Danio rerio: one gene and its partners. The protein of the gene in region 1 interacts with the protein of each later gene in a biochemical or structural test. Links are inferred from orthologs where the notes say so. Each region holds a gene or a part of one and is shown in the gene's direction. Other genes may lie near its edges.

Region 1 (7,017 bases):
ATTCATTTAGTTATTAGGAATAGTACTTAAATATTGTTTAATTTTCCATACATTAGTATATTTCATTTCACTCCATTAGTACATTAAAGTCTTATTTGTGTCCAATTTTCTCCATCTGCAGACGTGCCGGGTCGGAAGGCGTCTGTTTGTGGAGGGTCTTCAGTATCAAAAGTCAAAGTCAGCTTTATTGTCAATTCCACCACATGTACAGGACATATAGAGAATCGAAATGACGTTACTCTCAGACCCTAGGTGCCTAACATATAACGTTAATACAAAAAGTAGAGTTTTAAGAAAGAATTTACAATAAATACAATTATACATAAAATGTAATCTAAATATATTCCTAAAATTTAGTCTAAATATATACATAAACTGTAGTCTAAAGAATAATTAAAAAAAGAAAGAATAAAAATTGTAATCAATACAATAATATACAAAAGCATTAAGGGCATATGGCGATGAGTGCAAACCAGAGTTGTGCAGATAGAGCCGTATATAGTGCAAAAAGGCTTGTAAACATAAGATAAAGTGACAGTATCAGGATATATAGGGAGGTAGTCCCTATATGAGGCTCAGAAGGGCCCTAAAGGAGGTTCTAGTTCCTCTTTATCCGCAGGATGGGGACATTTCGTATCTAAAGATTAGTACCACTTAAAATTATATTAAAAAATTGTATATATAATTTTCTTTTATTACAAATATTTCCCAAATGATGTTGAACAGATTCAGGAATTTTTCACAGCATTTCCTCTAATATTTTTTCTTCTGGAGAAAGTCTTATTTGATTTATTTCAGCAAGAATAAAAGCAGTTTTAAATTTTTTTAAAACCCATTTTAAAATTCAACATTATTAGCCCCCTTAAGCAAAATTTGTTTTGGATTGTCTCGAGAACAAACCACTGTTATACAATGACTTGCCTAATAGGGTTGTGGCGATACCAATAAATCATGTTATGATACTAAACCAGCTAAAGTGTCGTGATACCAAGTAGTATTGAGATACTGTAATTCATAACTCAAATCCATGAAATAAAGCAAACTGTCAGAAATACTATATTTTATATGTTATAAGCCTACTTGAATTGAAATAATGATTTCCTTAATATTGAAAAGTATTTGCACGTCACTTCACCTGAAATGTATTCGTCTTTTGTTTATTTTGTAGATAACTGACCAACAATAAATACATTAAAATACAGATACAAATGATACCAAATTAAACTTACATTAATAGTAAAATTAGCATTTTTCCAACCAAATTAGGCTTCATGAAGTGGTCAAATTCAGTTTTAATGTTTCCAGTATCTTTTTTTTTCCAGTCTCATAAGGTGATTAAAAATTTCACCTTGTGAGTCACTTTTTTTAAGAGATTGGTCGCAGTTGTTGTAGCTACTAAATCATACTGACAGCAGCAGAAATAAATTGATTCAGACTCAATCTGAAGCGTCAGAAAACGTGCAATAGGCTCCCAAAAAATGAGTGAATTCTACACGGTTTTACAAACTTGCAAACATGCTCCACAGCACAGACTATTCAAATAAGGTGGTCTATTGTTGCACAAACCTGTGAGGTTTTTAGAAACCACATGCAACATTATGTATTGTAGATAGACCGTTAATGACGATGCTAACATTGACAAACTACAGTGGCATTGCCAGTATTTTGGAGCCGTATCACGATACTACCATAATAGTATCGGTAAACCGTGCAACCCTATTCCCCAATTTCCCTAACTTTAGCCTAGTGAAGCCTTTAAATGTCACTTTAAGAGAAAATAAATCAGTTATTAGAGATTACTTATTAACACTATTATGATTAGAAATGCGAACATTATATATATATATATATATTTTTTTTTTTTTTCCTCAATTTCTGTGTAACGGAGAGCAGATATTTTCAACACATCTCTAATCATAATAGTGTTAATAATTCATCTCTAATAACTGATTTATTTCCTCTTTGTCATGATGACAGTAAATAATATTAGACTAGATATTCTTCAAGACACTTCTATACAGCTTAAAGTGACATTTAAAGGCTTCACTAGGGTAATTAGGGTAACTAGGCAAGTTATTGTATAATGATGCTTTATTCTGGAGACTATTGAGAAACAAAATATAGTTTATAGGGGCTAATAATATTGACTATAAAATGGTTTTAAATAAGTTAAAAACTGCTTTTATTCTAGCTGAAATAAATCAAATAAGACTTTCTCCAGAAGAACAAATATTATCAGACATACTGTGAACATTTCCTGAATCTGTTCAACATCATTTGGGAAAAATGTAAAATAGAAAAAAAGCAAAGGGGCGCTAATAATTCTTTATTATTGGTTAATTATATCAAATACATTAACTAGCACAACCTTATTGCAATATGTGACCTAAGAAAAGGAGATAAATACAGCTCTGGGCCTGTCTGAACTATGATAATCTCCTCTATCAGGTCATCGACCTCCTCCTCCTCCTCCTCCTTGGCTTGGAGCTGTTTGTAGGTTTATAGGTTCTATTATGATTATAGGCTCACGGGTTGCTCTGTAATGATAGTATCATATAATGGACTAGTCCTTGGTCGCTTGGTACGGCCTGGTGTAATAATGCCTCCTCAGAGATAATAATAAACCCGGCCTACAGTGGCTCTCAGCTTATCACAGATCAGTTGTTTAGTTCACAGCAGAGGCAGAGGTCAAAGTTCAACCGCTCTGTATGTGTGTGTGTGTGTTGTATAAATAAGAGCCAGATGTGAATGTCTCACAGTCTGTAAGAGCTGGAGAAACACACACACACACACATCATTATCATCATCATGGACTGCGGATGTGATTGTGCAGATTTTGCGCAGCCGAATGCGATCCTGTTTAATATTCTCAGCCGTGGAGAGTTCAGCTATAAGCGTGTTCCTCAGACGTGTCACTGTGAGAAGCGCAGACGAGTGTGTTTGCAGACGCCGAGTGAGACGTGTGCGCTGGCGTCAGACGTGCTGGTGAAGACGGTGTATTTCATGAAGAATCTGCCGGCGTTTCAGCAGCTGCCGCCCAAAGACCAGCTGAAGCTCCTGCAGAACTGCTGGACGCCGCTCTTCATCCTCGGCCTGGCGCAGGACAGGGTGCACTTCCAGGTAAATAAGTTGTTATTTGAGAGATTTAAACTCTTAACTCTTGTGTTGGGTCATTTTTATCCACTCTGGGCTGATTTTGAGTCTTAATTTGGCCTCAACTTTCTCTGTGTTTCAGCAAATGTGATGATTTTTGCTGACAAATCTTATTTTGACACATATTTTGGGAAAATGCTTTTAAAATCTCAACAACACACTGTTCAGATAGACTTCCCTTTGGTTATGTTGGGGGCTGTTTTTGCCCGATTGACATTCATTGTAGTCACATTTTATGATTGCAAAGCCATGACAGCATATAATCATGCATTCTTGATTGTTGCTGGTTTTCCCTGTTGGGAAGAGGGACAATCTGTCATATAGAATGCATAAATAAACAAATATACTAATTAGCTTAATTACCTTATTGTAAAATATAGACACATTATATATATATATATATATATATATATATATATATATATATATATATATATATACATATATATATATATATATATATATATATATATATATATATATATATATATATACATATATATATATATATATATATATATATATATATATATATATATATATATATATATATATATATATAATGTGTCTATATTTTATATGTAAATATAAACGTTTTGTCAAATATATGCATGCATGTGTGCTTATATATATATACATATATATATATATATATATATATATATATATATATATATATATATATATATATATATATATATATATATATATATATTGTTTCTACTGGTAAATGCATTACCTAACATTATCTAATGCAGCCTCATAGTAAAATGTTACTGTATATTGTGAATGTTCATTGTCACAACCTATTTTGCATAGTTAGTTTGTTGATGCTAACAAATGCATTAAATAACATTAACTAATGCAACCTTATTGGACAGCATTTTCGTATATTGTTATATTGTGCATGTTCATTATCATGATATATTGAGTTATTGAACATGTTCCAAAGTTTATTAGTTAGTAAATGCATCAACTATCTTTAACTAATGCAACCTTATTGTAGAGTGTTTTCGTATATTGTTATATTGTGCATGTTCATTTTGATGATATATTGATTTATTGAAATATTCCAGGTGGACGAGAGCGCGGCTCCCAGCATGCTGAAGCGGATCCTGCTGAGCGGGCAGGAGAGCGCAGGTGCGGACTCTGAACAGCCCACACTGGCTGGAGTGCAGACGCTCAAATCCTGCATCAACAAGTTCTGGAGTCTGGATCTGAGCCCCAAGGAGTACGCCTACCTGAAGGGCACGGTCATATTCAATCCAGGTGGGATGCACAGACACTGTAATGATGCATAATATATATTCTTTTAATTATGGAAAGATTTAATTTTATTTATTTATTTATTTTTTTTGCATTGTTTTGCATTGAACATTCCTGTTAAATGATATATAAAATATTTGTTTTAATTATGGAAAAGTTATTTTATTTTCATTTATTTCTACGTTAAATATTTTTATTCTATTTTTTCCTTGATATATATATATATATATATATATATATATATATATATATATATATATATATATATGTATATATATATATATATATATATATATATATATATATATATATATATATATATATATATATATATATATATATTATTTGTTTGCTTTGCTTTGCATTGAATATTTCTATTTCATTTTTATTTCTAAATGATGTATAACATATTTTTGTAATTTTTAAATTTTTTAATTTAGTTTTTGCATTGCTTTGCATTGAATATTTCTACTCTATTTTTAATTCTAAATTATGTATAATATTTATTTTTTTCATTTGTTTGCATTGCAATGCATTGAATATTTCTATTTTATTTTTATTTTTAAATGATCTATAATAAATTTTGTAATTTTGCAATTTTATTTTATTGATTTTTATTTTTCGCATTGCTTTTCCACTGAATATTTCTATTCTATTTCTATTTTTAAATGATGTATAATATATATTTTTAATTATGGAATTTTATTTATTTGTACTTTATTTTATTATTTATTTTCCCTTGGCTTTGCATTGAATATTCCCATTATATTTTCATTTCTAAATGATATAGATAGAATATATACTTTTAATTATGTAAAAGTTTAGTTTATCAAGTTATATTTTATTTCATTGCATTATGTATTGGATAAAGTGTCCAAAAATATTATGTCATTTTAATTCTGTATTTATTTATTTGTTTAGCTATTATGAACAGTACTATTATATTGTCTTTTATATTATATTATATTATATTATATTATATTATATTATATTATATTATATTATATTATATTATATTATATTTCTTTTCACTCCATTAGAATATTAAAGTCTTCTTTGCATCTGATTTTCTCCATCTGCAGATGTGCCGGATCTGAAGGCGTCTCTGTTTGTGGAAGGTCTTCAGTATGAGGCTCAGCAGGCCCTGAAGGAGGTTCTGGTTCCTCTTTATCCCCAGGATGGAGGACGTTTTGCTCGAATCCTCCTCACTGCATCCACATTAAAAAGCATCACGCCGAGTCTGATCACAGAGTTGTTCTTTCGGCCCGTCATCGGAGATGCTCAAATCCTGGATCTGCTCGCAGACATGCTCTTCAGCCGATAGACAGCCGAGAGCCGTGCTGCAAGGTTATTATAGTCTACCTTTTTAAAATTAGATTTCTTTTATTTTTATTTTGAAGTGCTTATATTTGATCCCTTTTACAAGATGTAAGATCAGCCTGTCTTCAGAATGTGCTTTCAGCTCAAAATACCCATCAGATCATTTAATACACCATGCAGAAGATGTGAATTCTGGGGTCAGAGGAAAGTGTAGCTGTTTATGTAGCCTGTGCCTTTAAATGCAAATGAGCTTCTCCCCCGCAACAAAATCTGATTGGATGTGATTGAGATTAACTTTGATCACATTAATGCATCTCTGCTAAATGGATATGATTTTGATCTTGTGCTATATGCAAATGTAACTAGGTTACATCAACTAAAGCATCAGATACACAGCATTTGAATTATTTAATATTATTATTGACAGAAGCGTGAGCTATAAATGCATAAAAAAATGCATGAAGTGACCAGGTGAGAGCAGCCCCTTAGTGAAACAAATCAAATCATATTTTAAACAAACACTAAACACTAAATCTTAATGTGTAAAAGTAAAATCTATGAGGAAATCAGACAAACTTGTTTATAAAAGACACGTATATGCAGGTAAACATGCTTAGTTTGTCATGTTTGTCAGATGAAGAAAAGATAGATCAGATGTTTTTCTGTTTTTTGTTTATAATGCTGATCTTCACTGATGTGTTTGGCGCCATCTACTGGTGATTCTCTAAACAGCATAGAACATTCATTCATTTTCTTGTCGGCTTAGTCCCTTTATTAAGGCTGATTTATACTTGTGCATCATGCGCATGCGAATGCTACAGCGCAGCCTACACATAGATGCATAGCCCTCGTCTTGGCTGTCGGCGTCGCTGACGTGCACGTATTAAGCTGTCATTAGAGTTTGTCACATTAGAGTTTGTGTGTGCACAATTCTGTTGTGCGGCGCTGCGAAAAAGGGCGGGACTAAACAAGCTTATTAGACATTAAGAAAAGCAAGCGATTGCACAAATTTCTGTCCAGAGAGGTCATGTTTTTATCCTCGATTGGTCGCACATAGTCAAGTGATGCGATTTCGCAAGTCAGAGTTCACCAAGCTTGAACTTCGCACCGCAGCAACCTGCGAAAACGTGACGCATGACCCTGCGTTTGCGGTCTGACGCACTCGCGTGCATATGAATAGAAGTCTATGCGAGGAAAAGCCCAGTGTGACCGCAGCTTTAAAAAATGTAACTATGTTGCAACAACACGTAATGCAAGCTCTTTGATTGGTCAGCTTGG
Region 2 (7,034 bases), on another chromosome or scaffold:
AACTCTTTTACATAAAGGCCACACTTTTCACCATGTGAGTTATTGCTGTTGTTTATTGTGCTAGAATTAACAGAGATTTAGAAAACACATTGAAATGTGGACCACTCACTCTCAATCGTATTCATAGAGATGAGTATGAGAGACCTTTCACTACTGGATGATGGGACAGACCTAGATAGCTAAATTTCTGAAAACATTATTCTACCACTTAATAAATACTCTGTCATCCTTTATAGTTGAAAGGCAAGGTTACTAGCCCACCCATTTTTTTTTTTCATCTAAATATTTCCCAAGTGATGTTTAACAGAGCATAAAAATGATCACAATATTTTCTATAACACTTTTTCTTCAGGAGAAAATCTTATTTCTTTTAGTTTGGCTGGAATATATATATATATATATATATATATATATATATATATATATATATATATATATATATATATATATATATATATATATATATATATATATATTAAAGAATGGTCAATATTATTAGCCCCTTTACAAATATAATTGTTTTTGTGATTGGCTTCTAAACAAACCACTGTTTTCCAATGACTAATCGTCCTAATTTACCTAGTTAAACTAATATCTTAAGCCTTTAAATTGTACTTTAAACTGAATACTATTGAAAAATATCTAGAAAAATATTATGTACTGTCATAATGGCAAAAACAACAGAAGTTAGTTATTAAACTAATATGTTGACAAATGTGTTGAAAAAAGTCTTTTCTCTGTTAAACATCACATGGAATATTTTAAAAAGAACTCAAATTTTACAAAATAGATAAGAATTTTGACTTCAACTGTAAATTGTTTTAAATGTGTAAGACATTAATTAACCTTTGTAACACAACTGAGGACATTTTTGAGATTTCTGTCCCAAACACCCACATCTCTCATACTTCAAAACATTTCTTGAATAGTTAAAAACATTAATCCATAAAAATCAAGGTATCAATCTCCAGTCTCCAGACATTATTTTTTATATAATGAATAGCTTGGCTGCATCTAAAATCACACTCTCCTTACTTCACAACAGCAAAAAAAAAAAAAAAGAAAAAAAAAAGAAGTTCTATAACGTATAAATAAGTGTATTATGAACGAAATCTGGATGTACTTCGAGAAAATACTAAGGGCCCTATCATACACCCAACGCAATGTGGCGCAAGGTGCAGATGCTCTGTTTACCTGTTTTCTCTCTAGTGAAGAGTTCAGTTTTTCCAATAACAAAGTCCGCCATGTAAATTACAAATGCACTATGGCGTGATGCAACTGACTCTTAAAGGGAATGGGAGATGGGTCTCTGATTGGTTTATTCTCAAAACACATCTATAACTCATTAAGAGAACCCTGTTAGACCATGCGTCACGGTGCAGAGCGGATTTTCCAGTCGTTAAAATAGTAAAAGTGGATTCGGATACGCCATTAATGCTTTTGCACCCTGTGCTTTGGTCTTTGCGCCTTGATCGTCAAAATAGAGCCCTAAATCTGTTCATCACATAATGATCATGTCTCTTCAAAAGATATGGATTTATTTACGAATTATTTACGAAATTTATTTAAGAACGTTCTAAAGTATTTGGGAAGAAAATGACTAAAATCTCTCCCATTTAATTAAAAATATCTTAATTTGTTTCTGAAAAAAAAGAGCAACAGTCCGAGCAGCCACAGGACATCAACATGATGTCAGATTGACGTTGCATCCCAACATTGTGGGACGTTGCATTTTGATTGGAAATGAAAATCGGGTTGATGCCAGAGCTAAAAGTCTGTCCTACGTTGGACATAAACATTGGCCTGACTGGGTTCTGACGTCAACTTTGGTTATCATTATCAACGTTGCATTTTCCAACACAATCTAAAAACAACAAAATATCAATGTCTAATGATGTTGCAGCTTGACGTTGTGTGGACGTTACCACTATGACATTTATCTGACGTTGGATTTTGGTTGCCATACCTGACAAATAAATGTCAGTAATTGACTTTAATATGACGTTGGTTTAAGATGTTGGCTCAACGTTGGATTTTGGTCACTTTCCAACACAACCTAAAATCAACAAAATATCAACGTCATTTCACATCATTATTGGACATCAAAAAAACACAGTCCAAAGACACTGGCGACCTAAATCTAACCTAATATTAATGTCTTAAGATGTTGTGTGTCTGCTGGGGTCTTATGGGTTTGTAACAACATACACTGTAAAAAAAAGTCTGTTAATTAGTATGTTCTGTATTTCATGATTCTATTTTTTTCTCTTTAATTATGGTTATGAGTTGCATTATGGTACTGTGATCTCTACTCTGTACACTTTTGATGTAAAAAACAACTTTTTCAACTTTTCAAACAACTTTTTTTTTTTTACTTTTCATTATCAAAAGTCATTATCAGAAGCTCATGGTCCCATGATGCAATGAATCCCATTACTGCAAGTATAAATAATTGGGGAAAAACATCACAAAATACAGAAAACTGGTAAATTATGGATATATTTACAGTCCAAGACTGAACAAGTGATAGCAAATTTTAGTTTGAAGTGAAAAACTGTCAAAAAGTTTAGTAATTGGTCTATATTTTTAAGTCATGAATTTAAGACACAGGCACAAAAAAATAAAACAGTAACTTTCCCTATTTGTCTCCATTTCCAAAAAAAAAAGCAAAACAACAACTCTGATTTAGCATTTTAATGATTAACATAAAGTCCATCCCACTGGAGAGGAGGAGGCCCTAGACTGTCAATCACAGCGAGCCTCATCTTTGCCCTTGAGGACATGGCCCCTGTCACTCAGAGGTGTCTACCCCTTCAAGAGGAGGGGCCTGGCCTATGAGGGGGTGTCCAAACGCTCTAGAGAGGACAAGTCTTTCCCCCCAGCATCAGGTAGATGAGAATGCGTTTGTCCAAACCACTAGTAGACATGGAGATGGCAGACTATAGCGAGGCCTTGGATCCAGCCTACACCACGCTGGAGTTTGAAAACATGCAAGTGCTTGCGATGAGCACAGGTGAGTCATTCGGAGTGAACTTTGAGACCTTTAGAGACTTTATATGGGCTTCTAAATGGTATATGGTCAAGCGTGGGAGGCAGGGTTGATAGGGTTATAGTGATTGCCAATTGGCAAGTTCGTAACCTCTTGCATGGAAAAGCCAATATAGCAGAAGCCAATTGAAAATAAATTTTTTGGTTGAAGATAAGCAGCACTGCATGCTCCGTCCTGCAGATATGGAAGTTCACAAGGAGAAGAGGTTCATCCGTTTCCTTTTGCTTGTTCTCATACAGCTGGCTTGGGATAAAATGACTTGTTTGGATAGTATTTCAAGAAGAAGTTTGACACCAGGATGAATGATTACTAGAAGAAGAGGGTGTCATGTAAATGTTTCGCAGCCAATCCTCCCATGTCTAAGTTTTGTGCAACAAATTGATATTCAACCGGTGTCAACCTGACACAAGTAATTTAATATGAATGGTAAGGTTATATTTAAAGTTTAAGTAAAGCAATAAGAGTCCAGTTTAAAAAATGTTTACATTTCAGTTTGATTGACATTTGAGATTTTTTTAATAACTCACAGCTAAAATGGAAACCGCTGAGGAGAATTGTTATACAGTAGAGTACATTCAAATTATTTTAATTATTATTTAATAAATTGCAATGAAATATATTGATCACAGATTATAATTTTTATATTTAAACATTTTTTGTCACAACCATAACCACAAACACCTAATGTGACAAATCAGATGATGATTTAGATGATCACTACATAATCACTCAAACTGATGAGCCATTTAAGGTTTGCCTTTGATCATTGCTTAGGTTTTAATGTGATTACTCTGACTGCCTCCAGCATCAAAATTAACAAGAATCGTTTTCTTAAAAATGATGAATGTTTAAATGGTTTCTGTCATCAGCATTAAATCCAATCAGATCTTTTTCTTCAACAAATTGATGTCCTGTTGTTTATGGAATAATCAATCATTCATAGAAAGTCAGTTTCATTAAAAACAAATATATTATTTACATATACATGAGTAACATTTCAGGTTGAAATTGTTTTGTAGGTCATCAAGAATGCTAATTAGAGTTTCTATAATCTAGCATGATCTTGTTGTAGCTTTTGTACAGATTTAGTTCTAATCTTTTCTGGATTACTAAGCAAACACTCCTTTCCAGCACATGTTTGTGATGACGATTCACTGCAAATTGATTGAGCTGTAAAAATGTATTTTCTAAAAGAATTTCTCACCCCATGACCTTTCCCCTATTTGATTTAACTCTGATAGGTCTGGAATAATTCTGACTTGTTAGGTCTGCAACCCACATTTTTAAGCGTCATTGAAAAAAGACAAATTTTATGCAATCACTTATCCTATTATTTTAAGTGCCTCTTCATTCTCTGACTATTTTTGTTGCATGAATAAAACTAAATCAATTTAGCACACTTTTGACTAAATTCAAAATCCCCTATGATTGCAGACTCCTCACCACAAGAAAGTGCCAACATGAATGCTGCCAACCACTTAGGGGCCGGCACTCTATGTGCCATTTGTGGGGACCGGGCCACAGGAAAGCACTACGGGGCCTCAAGCTGTGATGGATGCAAGGGGTTCTTCAGACGCAGTGTACGCAAAAACCACATGTACTCATGCAGGTTAGAGAAAATTAAATATTCTCTAAATTATGATCAAAAATCTGCAATAGTTTCCATCCAATGCATCTAACTATGTCTTTATGTTTCCTCACAGGTTCAACAGACAGTGCATAGTGGACAAAGACAAGAGAAATCAGTGTCGGTACTGCAGACTAAAGAAATGTTTTCGAGCTGGCATGAAAAAAGAAGGTACTTGCACATGTTGTTAGATTACATTCACATAAAACTAGCTAAAAACTAAAACTCTCTTGGCTTGTTTGGGAGGTTAGGGGATGAGGTGGCGCAAATAGGAGATGTTGCAACAGCATAGAGAGAGAGAGAGAGAGTTAGCGAGAGACATTTTGTTAATGTTCACTCAACAATGCACTGAAGTCTATGTCTGGTTTATGCTGAACAAACAGTTTAGAGCCATCATAACTGCACACTGATAAAAAAGTGCAACCTTGAGGACGGACGCAACCCCCCCTCTCACAAAGTCAGCTAATATTCCCCATCTCCGCTATCTCAATTGGTTGTCAGAACTGGGTGGCATTTGCTGCTACTGATAACGAAAGAAAATGTTTCAATGGTTTAACCAGAGTTGGGTTTTTTTTTTTTTTTAAAGTACAACATCCAAAAAAAGTGTTTCTTATTTTAATAATTTGTTGATTAAAAGTAGTTATCTCATCCTCAGCTGTGCAGAATGAACGAGACAGGATTAGCACCAGAAGATCCAGCTATGAGGACAGCAGCTTACCCTCCATAAACGCACTCATTCAGGCTGACGTTCTTTCTAGACAAGTAAGTAGTGTGAATCAAATCAAAGTACACAATAAGCAAATCCTGGTAAAACCTATAAACTTTAAACAAGACATCTGAAGGTTGGTTGCTTTGAAAAAGTGTAAACACTGCAGTGTTATCAAAACATTGCTTTGTTTGTTTAAGCATCCCAATCAGAACTACATAGCAACATTGATCTAACCAATGATGCTAGTTTGGGGCAGGACTATCTGATCAATGGTAGACGAGGGATTTGTTTAGGAAACCTGTTCGGAAACAGTCAATACATCTGCAGTTCTGCTGGGTGGTGCTATATCAATTCTACTTTATTATATGACTTGTACATTCTATGTTTATAGATAAAAATTATTACTATTCATTCATATATAAAATAATTTGTATTGTCATTTATTAGGCAAAAAAGAAAGTCTTAATGAATTTGTATTTTTATATCCAGAATTCTCTCAGTACTGTGAATTAATTAAACATTAAAACCTTTTTTTATTAAGGACTGCAAGTAAATAACTGTAACTGGGCAGCTGGTTACAAAAAATAAAACAATTTACTTATTTTTTCAGCCTTTCTTGTGAAACATTCATTTTGAAAATTCACAGATAACAATATTATATTTCAAAATTAGATATACTGTGTATGTGATTGTCCACACACGGGTGAATTAATCATTAAGTTATTGGAATTAAATTGAAAGATGCAATATACAAATGAAGGAACATGGTGATTAAAAAAAGAATACCACAACTTTGAAAATCGAGAACTCAACAATGAAGAAAATGAAAGCTTCTGTTGTTGATTTAAGGAAGCTCTGGAGTTTTATTAGGTTGCCTATTTGAATGAAAGGTACCCAAAGCAATAGATCGGCCGCCAGGCAGCCTGTGACAGAGCACTTCATCACTGGCCTCCAAGAAGCCCTGACCTCACCCCCTCAGTTTTTTTCAATAGGGTACGTTAAAAATATGGTTTACCACCTCTACTAGCTAACATTGAGGAACTAAAAGAAGAAATAACTGCAGCTATCCAATCTGTTATGCCCGAGATGCTAAAGAGAGTGTGGAATGAGTTCGAATAACAGGTTGATGTCACGAGTGTCTGAAGGGGGTCATATTGAACATCTATGAACTTGTTTTCTACTGAAAAAAAAAACGTTGTTAAGTACTCATCACATGGATTGATTATACGAAGTTCCATCATGTTTCTTTGATTAAATTTTCAAAGTTGTGGTATTCTTTTTGAATCTCCCCATTATTATTATATTCATTAAAGAAAGTAAAAATTTTGAGCAGCTGTGGTGGTCTCATAAATATGTTAGTGGTCTAATAATATTGTTATGCACTGTTTATAAGTAATAATAATAAGATTTAGTAGTAATGTTTATGTTTAAGAGATGTATAGCAAAATACTTATAAAGTATATACCCTCATATAGATTTCATCACCGGGTCCAATCTTGAATGGTGATATCAGAACAAAAAAGGTAGCCGCAATAATGGATGTGTGTGAGTCTATGAAACAGCAGCTGCTGGTGCTGGTGGAATGGGCAAAATACATCCCTGCATTCTGCGACCTCCCGCTGGATGATCAGGTAGGACAAGTTCCTCTT
Region 3 (6,756 bases), on another chromosome or scaffold:
ACAACCACTTAAAAAATAATAGTAAATCCAAGGAATTATCTTTGACTCACGTTTCAGTGTAGAGCAGTTTAGTAAAAATATATTTTATTAATTTGAGCAGTTTAGGTCTTTTTTAGTATTCATTTATATAAATGAGTTACAATCCATATGATTTACTCACTTTATCACTCTGGCTGTTTAAACTACCTTTGCTTTAAACGGGCTGTTGACAGTATTCGGGATTAAAACTCACTGAAATCTTGAACAATGACTCCCTCAAGTGGTCACATCATAAAACTACGGTTTATTTCGCTTAGAGGCCAGTGAATCCTGTATTTTAGGGTAGGTTTGGGTTAGTATCTGCACATGGGTCAAAGATGAGACATTCCCCAAAATATACAAACGTGATTTTAAATGTAGCCTACAAAAAAATATATATAGAATATACAGAACTCAAGTGTCTAGTTGTTTTAAATGACTTGTGTAAAAATAAAATGTCAAAATAATGGTAACAATGTTCCGTTCTGTAAAAATTCAACAACATATTCTGATGCTTCAAATAAAAGAACAGTCATTATATTATATTTTATAAAATTATATTATATTTAGCTATGTTATATTATATTTGGTTATATTATGTTATATTTTATTATATTATATTAGGCTTTGATATGTTATATTAGGCTATATTTTATTTTATTATATTATAATTGGCTATAATATATTATTTTGTGTTTTATTATATTATATTATATTATATTATATTAGGCTATATTATATTATTTTATTACATTATACTATATTATATTTTATCTTAATACATTTTAAATTATTTAAAAAAACTTCTTGCTGATAAAATGTGTAAAATATTGCTTGACAGATTGTAGCAAAGTATACACATTTAAAATAATAATAATGAAATATTAAATAATTAAATAATGAAGTATTCCTAGTATTTGAAGCCCCATTGGGTTCATTTAACAGTCCGTGTATACAGTTCATATGGCATCAAATTAAATTATCCTTGGTCTAAAAAGGCTGTATATGTAAAAAATTTTAAAAACTGTTTATTCTTTAAATAATGATATAAAATATGTCATATTATTATAACGGTTACTTTATTTATTATTAATTTATTGCTCAGAAATAATTAAATAATTCACATTAAATGGAAGTATTACATTACTACACTTATTTATTATTTTTTTTGCTTGAAAATCGTCTTCGACTCACATTAAATCAAACAAAAATCATTTAAATATACAACTTAACAACATGAATAAAAAACAAGGAGTTTTTCTTCTTCCTGTAGTTTTTCATCTTGTTCCCCAGAATACATGATAATCATACAAATGATCATTTAAATATTTTACTAAGGAGGCTTTTAAAGTTTAAAATTGTTAGGGTTGGGTGGTCTTTAAAGATTTGGACCAAGCTGGTAGCATTCCCCCTATGACTAAACCAATCAGAAGCCGTGAAGTTATTATTTCTTATGGGAGTCAAACTTCGGCTCAAACGAGCAATTTAATTGTAAAAAATTAAATGTATATTATACATTAAATATTTAATTTAACATTTAAATTATAATTAATGTAAATATACAATGTAATACATCACACTTGGTTTTACATCGAAAACTAAAAGCATTTTCCTCTTTGTAGCAAACAGTAACATGCTGCTTACACAACACATGCATTTGCTATGGATGTAATTTTCCCAATAATATCGAAACATAAAACAAAGCGTCTTTCTAAAAGATACGCGCGGACACAAAAAAGTATGAATAAAGCCCATTCTGTGCGTTGTGTGTGAACGCGAGAGCATATAGAAGAGTTTGTCCCTAAACGCCCTGGCGGACAGACGAAAGTTCCAGCACGTTCGTCGTTGTGTGAAGTGAAAGTTATGTATCCGCCAGCCTCCACCCCCAAATATATCACTAAATGATAGACGTGTTCTTCAGCCAATCACACGACAGAGGCGACTGCATTTCCTGCTCTCTCAGCCAATCAGAAATAAGAAAACACTAAAAAACGCGGACTTCAACTTGTCAGCAAAACAGAAGGGGGAGGGGATCAACATATGGCAGTCATATTTCTGAAGCTGAAATAATGTGCTAGACCTTTTATTGTGTTGTTTACCTCGCAGAAGGTAATTAGGTTTAAATACTCTTTGCTTGGACATTTATACTAATGTATATATGTCAGCGGGCAGCATTTTGGGCATTTTACTGATAAAATGTGGTAAGCTAGCATGCTAACATAACTGTACAGACGGTTAGCGAGCTGTTATATCAGACGGGGGGCTAAATAAGCTTGCTTGCTATTAACTTTGACAGCATAAAAGCAGGCGAGTAAATGACTCGTCTATGAATGCAAGAAAAATACCTTCGTAATCCAACGAAACAGAAAAGCTGCTGTGAATGTGCGTTGGTGGCGCGCTGTGATGGGAAGGTCCCAGAAAGTTTGAGATTTCAGGAAACTGCAATGGCGTGAGGGGAGACAGTCATGACAGCAGGTCGAGGAAGCCATGATCCGATCACAGCAACTCTCTCCAAATAACACCCCGCTATCACTGCATTGCTTCTTTTTAAAATAGGCCTTTTGCGTGTGATATCACCGTTAACAGCGACTCTTCCTAATTAGGCTCTATTTAAAGTTTTAGTCATCATGCTCTGAACACTAAACATAGGCCTGCACGAATGCATTTGTACATTCAACAGCAGAATAACGTTAGTTGTTTATTCAGGTCTTTAGCCTGGGCTGATCTGCGTGAATGAACTCTTGTTGGTTCATAGAGACGCGAATAATTACTGTAATTTTAAATAAGGTCTGTAATTAAATGTTAGAGGGCATTTTCTTGATAAAAGTGTGTTATTATCTTACCCTCTGCAATGTTTTACTCTTTACTGTCATACTGGTGGCTTGTGATTCTGTATTTTCATTCCAGAAGTGCCGCTTGAGGGGCGTGTCTGAGCACAGCGCGGGTTATAGTTATGCAAATAACCCTGTCAAAGTTTTGGTCTACCGTGTTGTCTTTTACTTCATAGTAGAAACAACAATAAAGCAGTGCTAGGAAACAATGCAACTTATTAAGTCAAAATCACTCAATTTAATGTATGTTTCCTTTATCTGAGTGGGTGAGGTCATAATAGGCTAATAATAATAATAGTAATAATAATAATTACTATAGTAATGATGATGATGCACTCACATGGGAGTCAAATGTTTATCTAATAATTATTAATGCTAATTTATATATAAGATAGTTTTACAGAGCAAATTAATTGCTTGTTTTTTTCAGCAAGCAACATGCTTAAGAAACTTATGCAAAGTAATATGAAACAATGCAATGTTAGGAGTAAAATATTTAACAATAGCTTAAAATAATTGATAATTGTTCTAAATTATTTGAAGCAGGGGGAAATTTGTTTTTAAAAAAAATCTGGACCCTGAACTATCAAAAATGTATTGCACACATTTCAGTATTATGACAGAACTTGGTTTCAGGTTATTTATATATAATGATGCAAGAAGTCACAGCAGAGTGTAATGCAGTTTCTTCTGGCGTGTTGCTTTTTATTTTAAAAGAGAACAATGCATATTTCTATGTATTAAAACAAGTTATACATGTCGGATTATTTCTGAATAGGTAATATTTATTAATAATAAATATAATCTTAAATGCATTTTAGTTTATTAATGTTTGTGCTCCTATAACTTGCATTTATATGAAGTTTTATGATCAATTTACAGTGAACCTTTTCATAAGATGCATTTGGCTTGAAAATGCTGTCATTTGGGGTGCCAAGCAATGTAGTGCAGGCATGACAAAAACCCAATAGACCCATCTTTTTTCTTCTTCTTCATATTTTCTTATTTCTTCATATTGTCAGTTCATGGGTAAAATAAAGTTTGTGGCAATTTTAATCTGATGATACTGTAACTTCTGATGTTTACCTAATACCTTATAACCACAGACGTAATTTTACTCAAATATTGAAGAATACGGTAGGAAAGGCTTCATTTATATTATCTTTAAACTTTTGTCAATTCCTCTCACAGCTTCTCAGCTGATAGATGGCCACCCCCAATGAGCCACCTGTTGGGATGTCCCATGCTGGTCCCTCACCGGGTGCTGGCCTGTCTCCGGGCCCCATCCTAGGACCGAGCCCTGGACCTGGTCCTTCTCCTGGCTCTGTACACAGCATGATGGGCCCCAGTCCAGGACCTCCGAGTGTCCCACATACAATGCAGGGCCAAGGAGCAGGAGAATACTCACAAGAAATGCACCCAATGCATAAGGTAGAAGAAAATTCAAAACGATTCAACCAGTTGCTTCTCTAAATGATTCGCCTTTTTGAAGCATTCAAAACAGAAATGATTGAGCGTATGCCTAATTATTGAACATTTTGTATTGAACTGAAACTAATATGAATCTGTCTGCCTGTCGTTAAATAAGAAAGCTGCCAAAACAACTGAACTGCTGAAAAATAATATTATCATTATAAGCATTACTTTTAAATGATCAGATCTTTTTTGTATACCTAACACTCTTAATAATTTACTTATGGTTTGAGATGTATATTGTTTTATTTCTTTTGTTTTATTTTTTATTTTTTATATTAAATATTAGTTTTTCTTTGATGTATTGATTTTATTTCTTATCCTTTATGACATTTATGTAACTAGCTGTACAATGAATATGTATCATTTGTTTTCAGGTCACACAATATTAGTACAAATTAATGTTTTCTGTATCCTGTTATTAATATTAATAATAAAAAACTAAAATAAATATAAAAAGCATTGAAAACAGCGCATGTTAGCGGCACCTAGTGGTCAAAACTATGTAAATGCAACAAAAACTCAGCCAAAAAAAAAAAAAAAAATGAATGCAATTGACCTTATTCTCCGCAGACGAGTGGGCGCTGCCATTTGAATCTTTTTGGCACGAGACTTCCGGTCTCATTCACTTGCATTCATTTTTAGACATTAAAAACTGCTCGTTTCGCTGTTTAATGTTGCAAACTGATATTTCCTTGTTGTATTATTCTACTTGGTCTGTATAGTCATGCAAACATTTGTTTGTAGAGCAAGTAGTTTGACCGTTTTTTGCCGTTTATTATTCCTTGTCATTTTTCCCATAGGCGACTGAAACGGAAGTTCTAAGACAATCGCGAAAACAGGCGCACTTCCGCATTTTAGAATAAGGTCAATAGAATGAGTGGGATCTGGCTGCAGAATCAGTGCAGATGCAATCTTAGTTGCATGTAATGCTTTTAAATGGGCTCACCTAACCCCACACCTAACCCTATCCATCAAAGCATCACTAGCTCTATTGAGCGCATTGTGTCTGACATTGCATCTCACAACTTGCATCATACAAGCTGCATTGTTTCTTTGTTCTGCTTGTTGTGAACTTTAAATTGAAATTATAACCTATAAATGCACATAGCTCACAATCTAATGTCCCTAAATAGTCCCACTTTATATTAGGTGGCCTTCACTACTATGTGATTGCATCATAAAATAAATATACAATGCACTTACTGTGTTAATAATACATTGCAGAACACTTCTGGTGCACTTGAGGTGATACGGGTTGGGATAATCACTGGTTTGGTGTTATGAATAGGTTTATGGGTGACTTCAGGTGTAAGGGATGGTCAACAGTGTAACTGCAGAAATTGATTACATGCAAGTATTTAATCAATCTTGAGCAAAATGCAAAAACATGTATTTAAACCATAAGTACATTGTAAAAAATGCTTAATTTCAGTGTACGTATATATTAGTTGACTAAGCTCTGCATACCCAGTACCGGGTTCGGGATGTCATTTACTTTATCGCAATCTTTAAATTTTTAAGGTCCGTACTTGCCAAATACCCCCATAAGTGGTTCCGTTCCATCATCAGTTGAAATAAAACAACTTTTACATTGATTATGATAGATAAATTTTTTTTCCCTGATTACTGACATGTGCAGGAACCACCAAAATTAATTACAGCAACCAAGACCACACAGAACCTAAAAGGTACACTTACAAATTTGAGTTTACAAAAAATAAAATAGAGGTTTATTATTATTTGAGGGGTTTATAATAACACTGGCAATACATACAATTATTTTAATAACTTTCAACAGTGTTTAATGAATATTCAAAGGGTTTTCTTTAAAATGAAAAGAAGCTTTTGCAATTACATCTCTGCATGTGGATTTGAGAAACTTTTGAATTTGGGCAGGCGAAATCCAGGTGGAAACCAAAAATAGCACCTGACTTTAAGTTAAGGCCACTTAATATAAAGTGGGACCCATTTAATTATAAGTGTCAGCGTAATATGCATTCTTTTATACATTTTCAAGGTGTATATATTGTTGTTTAATGGTGGGCTCTACTAAACTAAAAGATACTTTGAACAACTATTAGCTATTCTTCCATTATTGACTTATTGAAACATCTGACAACTCAAAACAAATCGGAGATGAGACAAATGCTTTGAAACTTTATTTTTTGTGTTGTTGTTATCATTGACTTTCTATCACCCTGGCATTGTTTTGTTTACTATATTGTCATGTATTTGTTTTTTAAAGAAAAAAAATGCTTTAAAACCTGTTCAGTCATTCAGCACTGGAGGAGATCTGAATGATTCATGTATGAATTTTATAGTATTACACAGATTACTTCCAGTGGCATTACATTTTCAAAACGTTTTGAAACATAACTAAGCTTTGTTCACTGCAATCATGCCACCATGTAAATTTAATTTTGCATACTCC
Region 4 (6,316 bases), on another chromosome or scaffold:
ATGAATGCTGCATTTTAATAAAAGGTGAACATTCTTCAACATTCTGTGACCATTATTTTAAAAAGTGTGGTACTTACATTGAAAACTGAAAAAAAAGGAAAAATGCTTTGGTGGAAAGATCTTTAGTCAAATGAGCTTACCAAATCAAACAAAAAAGCTGAGAATAAACTTTTACAAAAATGCCACTTACAAATGCAATAAATTATACAATAGCAATGCAATGTACTGTCAAAATCATATTTATTTATCATGTAAATGAATATTCCCTTTCGTATCTGCAGTGATCCGAAGTATGTCAGTGGATATTTTTCCAAATGATCAACATTAATAAGGGATTACACTTACCTCTAAGGAGGCCGTGAGGATCTGATCTTATTTTTAGCCCATGCCACCTTTCATTGAGGCCAGTTTGTTTGCAAGAATGCCGCAGTCTTGCATTAGACCCCCTTAAGAAATTCTTGGCTTAATCCCTTTTGATGATTTTATTAAGTAGTAGAAGATGGCCCTGCCAACTGGCATTGGGCACACTTGCACCAGCAGGCCAGGAGAGGCACCAACTGCTCACCAGCTCTTAGTCTGCCTCTAATGAGATCAGAGATGTTAACAGTTTGGGATAATAAATTAGCAGTTGGTATAAACAATAGCCCCAAACCTATACCTAATGAGCTCCTTGCCATTAGTGATTAACTGGCAAAAAAAAAGAGATTTCAAAATAAAAGAAATGAGCAGAATTGCTGTCTTTCTCTGAAGGCATTTCTGCACAACAGATGTTGGTGAGCAGCTCTTTCGTCTCATTCCCCCGCCACTCAGATTAGCCCCCGTACTGTCGCAAACAGAGACGCTTCATCTGTTGTGGGAAGAGCAGAACCGCTGAGATGAGACGAAAAGGTCCAATACCAACAGGTGCTGTTGTGCCTGTTTTCACCTTCAGATCTGATGGAGAGCTCCAATGCATTTATGCGGTTTATACATAAAACTGCTTTCTGTCATAAGACTGCTTTCATGCTTTCAGTCAGCTTTAGTTTCGAAGAGTGCTTGCTTTTTTTTTTTTGTCTTGTGCATAAATAAAATGTTTCAAAAAAATGTAAATTGATTTAAATTAATTCAGTTTTTTTTTACCTATTTATGTGTTCATTCAAATTATAATAATGTTTATGACAAAAAAATCTATATATATATATATTCATGTTGTTTATAATTTACTTTTTATTTTACCTAAAGGGAATTTAGAAAGTTAGGTTGTTAATTTTCTCAAAATTTCTCATATTTTCTATTATTAATATTCATAAAATGTATTATTTAAAAAACAAATTTTATTGTAATTAACAGGGATGTCCAGATCCGATCACAGGATCAAAAATTGAGCTCGATCACTTAATTTTAGACTCAATCATAATCAGACGTTACCTCCCAATTAGGACTCAAATATATATAGTAGCACATATATATGCAGTGGCACAGAGTTAGACCTATTTTTTGAGTTCACACAGAAACAGTAATGCGTGTGGAATGACATCATTTTTTTGCAAAGACGCAGCTCGAAGCGGGAAAGCACGTGTATGTCTGCGGTCTGGAGGTATTATGAAGTTGATGAAGACAACATTAACATAGCAAACTATGAGGCATGTAAACTTGAGATTGCCTGTCGGGTATTTTAAGTTAAGGTGCTATTTATTCATATTTTTACATTTACTAGTGCACTAAAGTGCAAAAGTAAAGAATTGATGTTATTATCTTACTTGACTGTTCAAGCTACCACACAGAACTGCTCTGTTTGTTAACATATTGAATGTTAAAATAAGGAACATCCTGGATCTGTTTTTTCCCTCCTCTTTAATTTTTTTATGTATTATAGAACTATCGGATCGGGTTTTGGTATCAGCAGATACTTAAAATCTAATGACTTAGACTCGAAGTGTGATAAACCTTCAACAACGATAGAACCTTTTAAATCCACAAAAGCTACTTTATAGTGAAAAAAGTATCATCATTTAATAATAATAAAAGTATCAATACTTTGATCATTAACATGTATGAAATTGGTAACATTTCTCTAAAATGTTTTTTTGGGGTACCAAAAAGGTTTCTTGCTGGCGCCTTTATTTTTAAGATGGCAATACTAGGAAGCATCACCTGGTACTTCACTATTAAGTATGTTCCTCATACCTAGAACCATGTTTTAGACAGACAAAAGCCCCATGATAGTCAGCTTCAAACGAAATTCACAAACATGAACTTCAACAATTTCCAGAAAAAAAACACAGAAAAAGCGGAGAAAAGTGTGTGCAGAGTTGGGGGAGGAGGAAGGAGATGGAGTTTGAGGCAAGCAATTAGTCTTTCAGTTGGTGTGATGGGAAGAATTGATCCATGCTGCATGTTGGGGGAGATAAGGAGTGCCCTCCCTCAGGATGCCCCCTGGCCTGCAGCGCGCCAGCAGATGAGAGCCAAGGCTCGTGCGAGGGCCCTCAGTTCACTCCCGCTGGAGTTTTCCTTTCCATTACACCTCCAGAATGTCAATGCTTCTTTACTAACGCAACCGCAAACTTCTGACAACCAATTGAGCTTTTATGTATCGCCGCTGAATGTTGATTTGAAGCTGAACGTTCCTCATTGAGTTGAACAAAGCTTTTTTCTGGCTCTTTATTCAATACTTTCTTACTTATGCAGACGCACACTTCTGACAACCAATCGAGCTTTTACTGTATGCATCACTGCTGAATGTTGAATTTCATCATTGAGTTGAACAAAGCTCTGTTTCTGGCTTTTCTCAATGCTTCCAAACTAACCAACTGAGCTTTTTTCCTTTATTTTTCATTTCACTTTACATTCAAGGCTGAACGTTTAACTTTTAGTTGAACAAAGCTCTTACTCTGGCATTGGTAACTGTAAGACTGAACAGTTAAGTGAACTCAAAATCTGACTGTATAAAGCTGAACTTAAACTAACTGAGTTATGGCAAGATATTTAAGGGGGAATGCTTTAGATTCTTATTGTTATTGCTTTATTTTATATTCTTATGTTTAGAATTTTATTGTTATTATTTTTGTTATTGTTGAAATTTATTTTAAAATAAAAAAAATAAAATACATACATTTTAAGTTCATCAAACTAAACAAAATACAGCAGCAATAAATGTATCAAAATAAAATGCTGTATTTTTGTAAAATGACATTTCTTTGCAAACCGTTCGTCAACAGGTCTTTTGCATCAACCCCTTCACCACTAAATTAACATAGGGAAGTAAACAATGTTTGATAGCAACAACTTTTTTCTGCCACTTTGTTTACCTAAAGGGAGAAGTTGTGGCGTAATTGTAAGTGAGTTGGACTTGTAACCCAAAGGTAATTTGTGTTTCTCTTAGAGTTACAAATTACAATCCATCCATTATTTGTACAGTATACTCAATTTACCAACATTATTTCAGTTCTTTTTTAACTGAAAGAGTCTCGGATTACCCCCATTAAAAACACCAGCACACCTTATTTAGGTGTTTATATTTCTAAAGTTCCTCTGCATTTCCACCTGCAGCACTGAGACTGATGATGTTCTCAAGCTGCTCGTTCTGTTCTTTAGGACTGAGATTTTATTCAATCTCATTTCTTAAGGAAAGATGCTAAATTGTACACTAGACAGCCATTATATTTATGGTCTTAGCATCAGGAGTGGTTGTGTTAGCATTTCACTGCATATCATACTGTGTATGACTCTGTATGTGACAAATAAAAATTGAATGAGCTAAAATGAGTATAATACAATGTTCTGTTATATTGAGATTCGTTTGAAATTTTGTATAGTTGAAGAGCATAATGTTTTAGGGGAGGATGGGTTGAAAAAAGTTTTTAAAAATAAGCAAAAAGATTGCTTATAAATGTAAATCTACTACACAATCAAAAACTTCTGACCACTAATTGAGTTTGTATTTTATCACTGATAAATGTTGATTGGAGTGATCTGATATTGAGTTGAGTTGGTCTCTTTCTTTGTCATTTTTCAGGCTTTTCCACACTGTCGCTGGCGGATCAGATGAGTCTTCTGCAGAGTGCGTGGATGGAGATCCTGATCCTACGTGTCGTCTACCGCTCACTGTCTTTTGAGGACAAGTTGGTGTACGCTGAGGACTACATCATGGATGAGGATCAATCCAAACTGGCGGGTCTGCTCGACCTGAATAATGCCATTCTTCAGCTGGTGAAGAAGTACAAGAGCATGAAGCTGGAGAAGGAGGAGTTTGTCACTCTTAAAGCTATAGCCCTGGCTAATTCAGGTAAAATTAGTTTTAGTTAAAACTAGACTTTAGTCAAAGAAGGCACCATTGTTGGTTTGATATGTGTCATTTGTGTTTCTAAAACTGGGTCAGTGTGATTATACTTTAATTTTGTCCAAGTTTATTAATGTATTCATAAATGAATTATAAAAGCAATTTATCCATAGTATGATTACAGTATCTTATTTGATTTAAGAAGAAAATTAATCAAAATTCAATACAATTGTCTTGATATACAACATTCTAATTCTGCGTTCATTACATGTTAAGTCAATGCAAAGACATGATCAGACATCCTGTGGCGCGATACAAGCGAATGAGGTGGCGCAATACACGCGAATGAGGTGGCCCGAATGGCATGATTCGCGCAAATGAATCTGTACAAGTTGAGTGTCTTGTGCAATTGCTGCGCGTGTATTGCGATTTTCGTGCAAATCGATGAAGTTCGAAAATCCGAACTTCAACAGACATTCAAGCCGCGTTAACCAATCAGGAGCTTGCTCTTGTGGAGGCGTAATTATGACATAGTGCCTGTTGTTGGTGTCCTGGGAGAAAATCCTCCTGCCAACACCAACAACAGTTTATCAAATTGGGCTAGGTTCAGTCAGAAGCACAGCTAAAAGCTTCCTTTATCTAGGTTAGATTTCTGGAGGAGTGAACTCATAGAGCTAGGAGCACCTCTGAAAGGATCCAGTGGACTCAGACATGGCTCCAAATGAATTGACACTGTTTTTCAGCCTTCATAAAGCACATAAACTCTATGTTAGCCATTTAGCAACGAAGCTAGAGTCACAGGGCATACAGAAGCCCTGCGTCTGTTGTGGAGTGTATTTGATGCGCAAATGATTTATGCTGTGTTATGGTGTGAACACAGCATAAAAGAAGAGTGCCAAAGAAAGTCTAAAAATAATTCTCTCACAATAATTTAAAAAAATATATATTACTAATAATAATAATGAAAAGATTTTATAAGGTATCTTAATATGGTATTGCAATATGATATCCTATAAGATATCTTAAAATGGTATCGTAATATGGTATCTTTTAAGGTATCTTAATATGGTATCGCAATATGGTATCTTATAAGGTATCGTAATATGGTATCTAATAAGGTATTGCAACTTGGTATCTCACTATATTGTGCAATTTTATCTGTCATTTTTGTTAACTTCATCCTAAATTTGGTGTCCTCTCTGATTAAAGTCTATGTTGTATTAAATTATACATTGTTCAAATTGTGGTTTGATGTGACTGTAAAGTTATCCAGGTACAGCTCAAGAGATATATCAAGATCTCTGTGTTTCTTTCTCTCATGTTTTGTTTTTCTCAATTCACACACATACTCAACAACAGCAACACACCAAATAATGTTCCCACCCCTCCCCACCCCCTTTAAACCCTTCAAAAGCACGTCGGCCCCTATCCGAATTAGCATAAGTCTCTGCTCAGATGCCTCTTAAGTAAGGAGCCCATCACTATGCACCTGCATGTCAATAACAGGCTCTGATGTTGTCCACCATCGACAGTCACACCATGGCCCTCTGGCTCCCTTTGTGTTGACCCCATCTTTGAACTTTATCTTGGTTGCTGGCCAGTAGTTTTCCCTTTAATTACAAGAAGGAAACTGTCAATAAAATCTGTTAAATGGGACGCAATGAGCAGCTTGAATGGGAGGGCGGCTATTTGTTCAAATTCTCCAGCGCTCAAGGTATTGACAGTTTGTTTTCTGGGGCCATATGTGACGATCAATCTCCGGCTGGGCCTGGCCATGCTGAAAAATGAAAAAGCAGATTGCTCTTGCTCGCTTGTGGATGACGGCTAGCTGCATTGGCCCTAGCCTGGAGACACTGGGGGCCGTTCTGCCCAAAGTGCACCCCTGAGAGAACGAGCAAGCGCGTGACTCTTTTGAGAAATTCTTTTTTAATTGATTGCACGATTAGCAGTTCATCTCATCTTGTTGACGCACACGTTGGCGTGCCAAAAGCAGGTAAAAGTGATCGATAAGTGGTAGATTTATTCATACCGATGTCGTCTTTTGTTTATGTTTGCTCC
Region 5 (6,316 bases), on another chromosome or scaffold:
TATAATTTAAATATTATTTTAATAAATATATCTGTTTAATAAATCTGTTTTGTTCCAAATGCACCAAAATACATTGATTATATCCACTGAGAAATGGATGAAAATATTAATTTTCAAAATGTGGTGTACTTATTTATGCTTAGCACATAAACTAACAAAAAATATAAATGCGTCTCTATGTGGATGTGTGTTTGATGTTCTGCAGAACATTACACTTTATTTTACTTGTTGTTAGTTTATGCTTTATGTTTGTGCTGTTAAATATTAGTGCTCTTGATTAGAGTAGATCTTGATTTCTCGGAAAAGAGGTTAGGACAGTAAACACTTGAGTGCAACATGGGGACTGAAGTACACCAGTCTTTGAAAGAAGCGTAAAGCCTCTCATCAAACTCTGTCTTTAGACCTTGAGAAAAGTACAATTAGTTCTGTCTGAACACAACGGAGAACATTTTTCACGTTCAGACGAACTGAGTGAGATCAAGGGACAGCAAATATTGAAGACAGCATTATAACCAAAGCATGTTGTCTGAATAAAACTAGTCTTCTTTTTTAAAGGCAAGACTGCTTGGAAACGTCATTTGTCATTTGGTGACACTTTAGAACATTTCTGAGATCATGCAATCAATCTGCTGGACATCAGAATTAAGACATAATAAATATTTACAAACACTGGAACAAAGGGTCAAAAGGAAATGGAGATAGTCACACTTGCCCCCTGTTTGCAGTCACGTACATATTCTCAATGCACGCTGCCAATTTTACTTTTGAAAACTCTTCTGATTTTCTAGAACTGAATTGTCCATATACTCTAGGGTGTATGCTTCCATAATGGTTATCAGATGACCCCTTTTCACTATATTTTGTGCATGCTTATTTCCTATTTTTTACATTCAAAATCTAGTTTAACCCTGTTAAATGTGATCTTTATTTTAGAATTTACTTTTTAAAAGGATGAAAATGATTACAAGTTAACATTAGCATTTTATGTTTATGGCCCTTTTCGTGATGAAATTTAAACTTAATTAAAATAAATAACACATTATCAAATGACCCCTTTTCACAATTTTTTTTATTCATTCATTCATTTTCTTGTCAGCTTAGTCCCTTTATTAATCCGGGGTTGCCACAGCGGAATGAACCGCCAACTTGTCCAGCATGTTTTTACGCAGCGGATACCCTTCCAGCCGCAACCCATCTTTGGGAAACATCCACACACACTCATATACTATGGACAATGTAGCCAACCCAATTCACCTGTACTGCATGTCTTTGGACTGTGGGGGAAACCAGAGCACCCGGAGGAAACCCATGCGAACGCTGTTACTATTTTTTGCGCATGCTTATTTCCTCTTATTTATAACCTGATTTACAATTATAATCTAGTTTGAGATGTGAGAGATGACTAGGAGGAGTGCTAAAATAAAACGCCACCCTCCTCATGTTCATATAGACTTTAAATACTATTGCTTTAATAATTATTTATATGAAGTGTAACATCTAGTGTATTGACTGTTCACCTCTGTTTTTGTGCAGGTCCAGTGTGGTGTCCTCTCAGCAGGCAGCCGTGGGCCTGTGTGAGGAGCTGTGCAGTGCCACTGACAGGCAGGAGTTGTACACTGGATCCAGAGCGGCTGGAGGCTTTGATTCAGGGAAAGAGACTCGCTTCTGTGCGGTGTGCAGTGACTACGCCTCTGGATATCATTACGGAGTCTGGTCGTGTGAGGGATGCAAAGCTTTCTTCAAGAGAAGCATTCAAGGTGACCAGCCTGTTTTACATGCAGTCTTGTTGTTCTGAATATCAGCAGGGATGTGACGCGGCTGCAAATAAAAAACAAAAACAAATCACAGCTTTGTTAATACACTGTAAAACCCAACAGTCAACTTTATCAAATGAAATGACTGTAGCTGACTTAAAACATACTGAAAGGTAATTCTACGCATTTGAAAAGAGTTTTGAACTCAGTGTTGAAAGTAATGAGTTAAATAAATACTTCATTTCTTTAACTTAAATGGAGGAAGGATTAGCTTTGAAACTTAAATTGTTTGTTGGAATCGGTTTACGCAAACTTCTGCAAATGTTACCTTAACTTTTTGGGTTTGACAGTTTATTCACAACAATAGATTGCACGTTTCATCTTGCTCATACAATACAAATCAAAAGTAGATATCATGAATTTTACATTGGTGGTGGGGGTTTTGTTTTAAAAAGTATTTTATTTGTATGCTTAAAAAAAAAAAACTAAATATTTACATTAAACATAAATCAAACCCCATAAACAGCCAATATTGGTATAACCATGTAAGAAAACATCACCTAAATTTTTCCATGACTATGACCAAAATACCTAAACATAGGACATTTTTCAAAAGTTAAACCTGAGTTTTGTGTTTTTGTAACTCTGTCTAATTACACTGCAAAATGCTGCCAAGACACAAGACTGGATGATGCTATGATTTGCTATTGCATGTACACAGAAAAAAGTCAAAACGGCAATTCATCGATGGATTTGCTATTGCATGTTCACATAAAAACAATGCAGTGAAATGAAATGCAAAAATTTGTGCTGTTTGAATCACCTCTTTGTGCTGTTAGAGTGCTGCTCAGCTAATCAAAATCAAGGACCAACACTTACACAATGTCTTGCATCTAAATATGCATGCTTTTCTATTATATATATATATGTGTGTGTGTGTGTGTGTGTGTGTGTGTGTGTGTGTGTGTGTGTGTGTGTGTGTGTGTGTGTGTGTAGCAGGTAACAGTGCAAACTGAGTAAATTGTCTGATATCACAGTAATCTTTAAACAGTTATTAAACTTTTATGTTTCCTATATATGTTGTTTTATGTTATGCTCCTCTCATGTTTCCATGGTGTCCACAGGGTCCAATAAAGTTATGTCTTAAATTTCAAAAACTAATCTCAGGCCCTTAAATATTGTCTGGTAGGTCTTAAATCATTTTAAATGGGTCTTAATTTACTTTGTTTGTGTAAAGCTACCCAGTCAATTCAACACATATCCTATGGTGCCTGGGCCCTACTGAAATTGCTCTGGTTATTGTAATTAATATTATAACAGCTTGTTGTGCATACATTTAGTTTATTAAAGGTTTTTTTTTCAAAGCGTTTTTTTTTTTTTTTTGTATGTTTACAACTAGGGTCTGCTTGTTTTGAAACATTTTTTTAAAATATGTGGCTAAGAAATAACTAATTAGAATTAGAATTTTGATCAGGCAAGTAAAAACAAAAATTTTATCTGTGCCATTTTTAAAAATCCTTAGCGTTTAGCCCTATACAAGTCTACAATTTCATTCTTGATTTATTATTTTTGTACTTTTTTTCAACAAAGAAATTTTAACATAATTTTATGGATTTTGTTTGGCAGCCATAGCTGCCAGTCATTTGACTTTTTTTTATTTATCTTTTTTTTTTTTTTTTTACAATTTTCATTTTAAAAGTGCAACTAATTACAATATATTACTTTAATTTTACATTCTTTTATATGAAAAAAAAAACGGGAAAAAACACTGTAAATAATACTGCGATTTTACTGTATAAAAACAGTCAAATTGCTGTAATTTGTCATTAATTATATTATACATAAAATAACAGTCAGGCTGTTAATTAACAGATATTGTTTGTAATTTTTACGGAGTTTTGAATATAATTTAAAATAACATTAAAATTCTCTATAAATAATACAGTACTTTCCCTGTATAAAAAAACACTAAAATGTCAGTAATTTTAATGATAAAGTACCTAAAATAAAGTAGAGAGATTGTTTGTCATTTTACTGACTTTGAATATAATTTTAAATGACAAAAAACTACTGTAAAAAAATTGAGATATTTTCTGTAAAATTATAATTTTTTTTCTTACAGTGTACATCATTTTGTAGGTGCATCTCCCTCCCCCCTGGACTCATTTAATGACCTAATGGCCGCAATTATAAAATAATTTCTAGTTTTATTTGTCTTGCAAATAGGAACTCTAAAACGATGTCCTGATGGCAGCAGCTGAAACACAGAGTACAATGGGTGATCCAGGGTGCATAGGATACCCTGCGCTCTCTTTACAACACAATTATGGTAAATTACCATTGAACCAGTTTGGTTAAAACCGAAGATCTTGCCTGCCACCTTTACCACCAGGCTACTCAACCTGTTCTTATTTGACACACTCAGATTACCGTACTGTTAGATTTTAATTAAAGATTACCAGATCAAACCTTTTTTTGTGGATTAATTGGTCGACAAACAATGTGCACTAGCATAATAAGCTGAGTAGATTCTGATTTCATGTGGACTAGAAACACATTTGCTCAATAAAAGTCTCTTGCATTTATGGATTGAATTCCAGTATTTAGGCTTTACATCCCCATAACTAGCTTCACCCAATTCAAAACTACAACTTCTCTGCTATCTAATGGCCATGTAAAGCAACCAATCACAGTTAGTTTCATTCAGTGCCATTTTTCGAGGGATGGAAAATAAAGTAGTAATACTATAATTTTCAAGTCAAGCCTTTGTGCTTCCAAATGTGAATGTGTGAATGTGTCCAGTAGGTAATCATCCTCACACGCTCCCTACTATCCTCCCTTTAAAAGCTGCTAGAATGAGGTGAAAATCAAAATCTCATGTGCGCTACATCTGGGACATACACAATGACAGAACACAGCTGTCTCTGTCTGCACCTTATTAGCAGTAGTGTATTGTGCATCAAGGGTGCGGGTCTGGGTGGGTTTGGTGAGATGTTTTGAGCTGGACTCTGACACACAGGCTCCTGATGAGCTCTCTGCTGGAGCAGGGAACAGCTGCCGACTCTAACTGCAGTTCGGGTGAGGAAAACTGGGGAAAATGACTGTAAGTGTATGTCTGATAAATGGGTTTCAGAGCACACTGGGTGAGGAAAATTACAGTGAGCATAAGGCAGAACAGAGCTTCCTTTCAACTTTATAGAGGGAAGAAAAGAGCACAAGGCTGAGAAGAAGAAAAGCAAGATAATGAAGCATACATATGTTTTAAATTGCAGCAATATGAATTTGGTTTAGTTAAAATATTTTTGACAGTTCACTGTAACAATATCTGTTAATTAACCGTATTGTGTGATTCACAAGTGTTTTTGGTTTATGGTTGCGAATTTTATTATGGGACCTTGATCTAAAGTTGCAAGTTCAACTCTACAGTTTAACTACGTGACTTATATCGACATTTCAGTAGTTTGAAATAATATAATGTATAAGAAATCTGTCCAGAGAATACGGGCAGTTTATTACAAGGTTTTTGTTGCGTAATATACAATACCAACCCAAACAATACATCACTTTAAACTATTACAAATGTTAATTAAAGTCACTCACTCAGCTTTTCAAGGTGAAAAATTATTGGAAGATTAAGATGACATAAAGCAATTCAAAAGCATAAATAAACTCAGAAAAATGAAAAATTGAAACAGAAATCACAATACGGAAAACTGCCAATTTATGTATTTTATATATATATATGGCCACTCCAAAACATTCACTCTGTTGTACTTAAAGCACATTTTAGCTAATTTGGCAGTATGCTTAGGGTCATGGTTTGTTTGGAAGACCCATTTGTGGCCAAGTTTTAATTTCCTGGCTGATGTCTTGATATGTTGCTTCAGTATTTCTACATAATGCTCTTTCTTTATGATGCCATCTTTGCTGTGAAGTGGACCAGTCCCTCCTGCAGCAAAACAGCCCCACAACAAGATGCTGCCACCCCCATACTTCACAGTTGGGATGGTGTTCCTAGGCTTGTAAGCTTTCCCCTTTTTCCTCCAAATGTAACACTGGTCATTATGGCCAAACAGTTCAATATTAGTTCCATTAGACAGCAGGACATGTCTCCAAAAATTATTCTTTTTCCCAGTGTAATTTAGCAAATTGTAATTTGTTGATTCTGGCTAGTTAATTTTCCTATGTTCCTATGTTTTCCTAAAATACTATTCTACAGTTGTGCCTCCAGTTAACTCAAATATTGGCATTTAGCCAAGCAGAAACTTCCAAAACCTTGACAACATCATCTGAGCTTTGTCAGAGGCATACTAATCTTATTGTATGTAAACTTGACTTTCAAGAGAAGTTCTCTCTCATTATTCTGCTATTAAGCATAACAGAGACAAATTTGATAATACAAACTTACCTAAAAGAGAAAAAGTTTAGTCACACAATAACAACTGACTTTTTAAAATGGTTATGTGTCTTTTTATACAGTGTATGTAAACATCAACTGTGTAATATATATATGTATACATATCTATATCAATGTATGTATTACATATCTATATCAACAAATA

Evidence for each region.
Region 2: the proteins of nr0b2a (region 1) and hnf4a form a complex in vitro, tested with the Homo sapiens proteins (4 studies listed by BioGRID). The link is inferred for Danio rerio from reciprocal best matches to the Homo sapiens genes NR0B2 and HNF4A.
Region 3: the proteins of nr0b2a (region 1) and smarca2 form a complex in vitro, tested with the Homo sapiens proteins (2 studies listed by BioGRID). The link is inferred for Danio rerio from reciprocal best matches to the Homo sapiens genes NR0B2 and SMARCA2.
Region 4: the proteins of nr0b2a (region 1) and esrrga form a complex in vitro, tested with the Homo sapiens proteins (2 studies listed by BioGRID). The link is inferred for Danio rerio from reciprocal best matches to the Homo sapiens genes NR0B2 and ESRRG.
Region 5: the proteins of nr0b2a (region 1) and esr1 form a complex in vitro, tested with the Homo sapiens proteins (2 studies listed by BioGRID). The link is inferred for Danio rerio from reciprocal best matches to the Homo sapiens genes NR0B2 and ESR1.

Annotation. Positions count from the first base shown.
Region 1 is NC_133191.1:58,815,629-58,822,645, forward strand, and holds the start of nr0b2a (nuclear receptor subfamily 0 group B member 2a), read left to right. Parts: upstream 1-2,757; 5' UTR 2,758-2,808; coding exon 2,809-3,120; intron 3,121-4,229; coding exon 4,230-4,422; intron 4,423-5,501; coding exon 5,502-5,743; 3' UTR 5,744-7,017. UniProt on the Homo sapiens protein: Transcriptional regulator that acts as a negative regulator of receptor-dependent signaling pathways. Specifically inhibits transactivation of the nuclear receptor with which it interacts.
Region 2 is NC_133198.1:28,797,811-28,804,844, forward strand, and holds the start of hnf4a (hepatocyte nuclear factor 4-alpha), read left to right. Parts: upstream 1-2,925; coding exon 2,926-3,013; intron 3,014-3,015; exon of another isoform or gene 3,016-3,468; coding exon of another isoform or gene 3,469-3,475; intron 3,476-4,483; coding exon 4,484-4,658; intron 4,659-4,752; coding exon 4,753-4,847; intron 4,848-5,316; coding exon of another isoform or gene 5,317-5,331; coding exon 5,332-5,438; intron 5,439-6,860; coding exon 6,861-7,016; intron 7,017-7,034. UniProt on the Homo sapiens protein: Transcriptional regulator which controls the expression of hepatic genes during the transition of endodermal cells to hepatic progenitor cells, facilitating the recruitment of RNA pol II to the promoters of target genes. Activates the transcription of CYP2C38.
Region 3 is NC_133180.1:46,019,355-46,026,110, forward strand, and holds the start of smarca2 (probable global transcription activator SNF2L2), read left to right. Parts: upstream 1-2,036; 5' UTR 2,037-2,219; intron 2,220-2,363; exon of another isoform or gene 2,364-2,443; intron 2,444-4,040; 5' UTR 4,041-4,055; coding exon 4,056-4,280; intron 4,281-6,756. UniProt on the Homo sapiens protein: ATPase involved in transcriptional activation and repression of select genes by chromatin remodeling (alteration of DNA-nucleosome topology).
Region 4 is NC_133192.1:31,251,532-31,257,847, reverse strand, and holds part of esrrga (estrogen-related receptor gamma a), read left to right. Parts: intron 1-3,994; coding exon 3,995-4,264; intron 4,265-6,316. UniProt on the Homo sapiens protein: Orphan receptor that acts as a transcription activator in the absence of bound ligand. Binds specifically to an estrogen response element and activates reporter genes controlled by estrogen response elements.
Region 5 is NC_133195.1:29,087,630-29,093,945, reverse strand, and holds part of esr1 (estrogen receptor), read left to right. Parts: intron 1-1,533; coding exon 1,534-1,757; intron 1,758-6,316.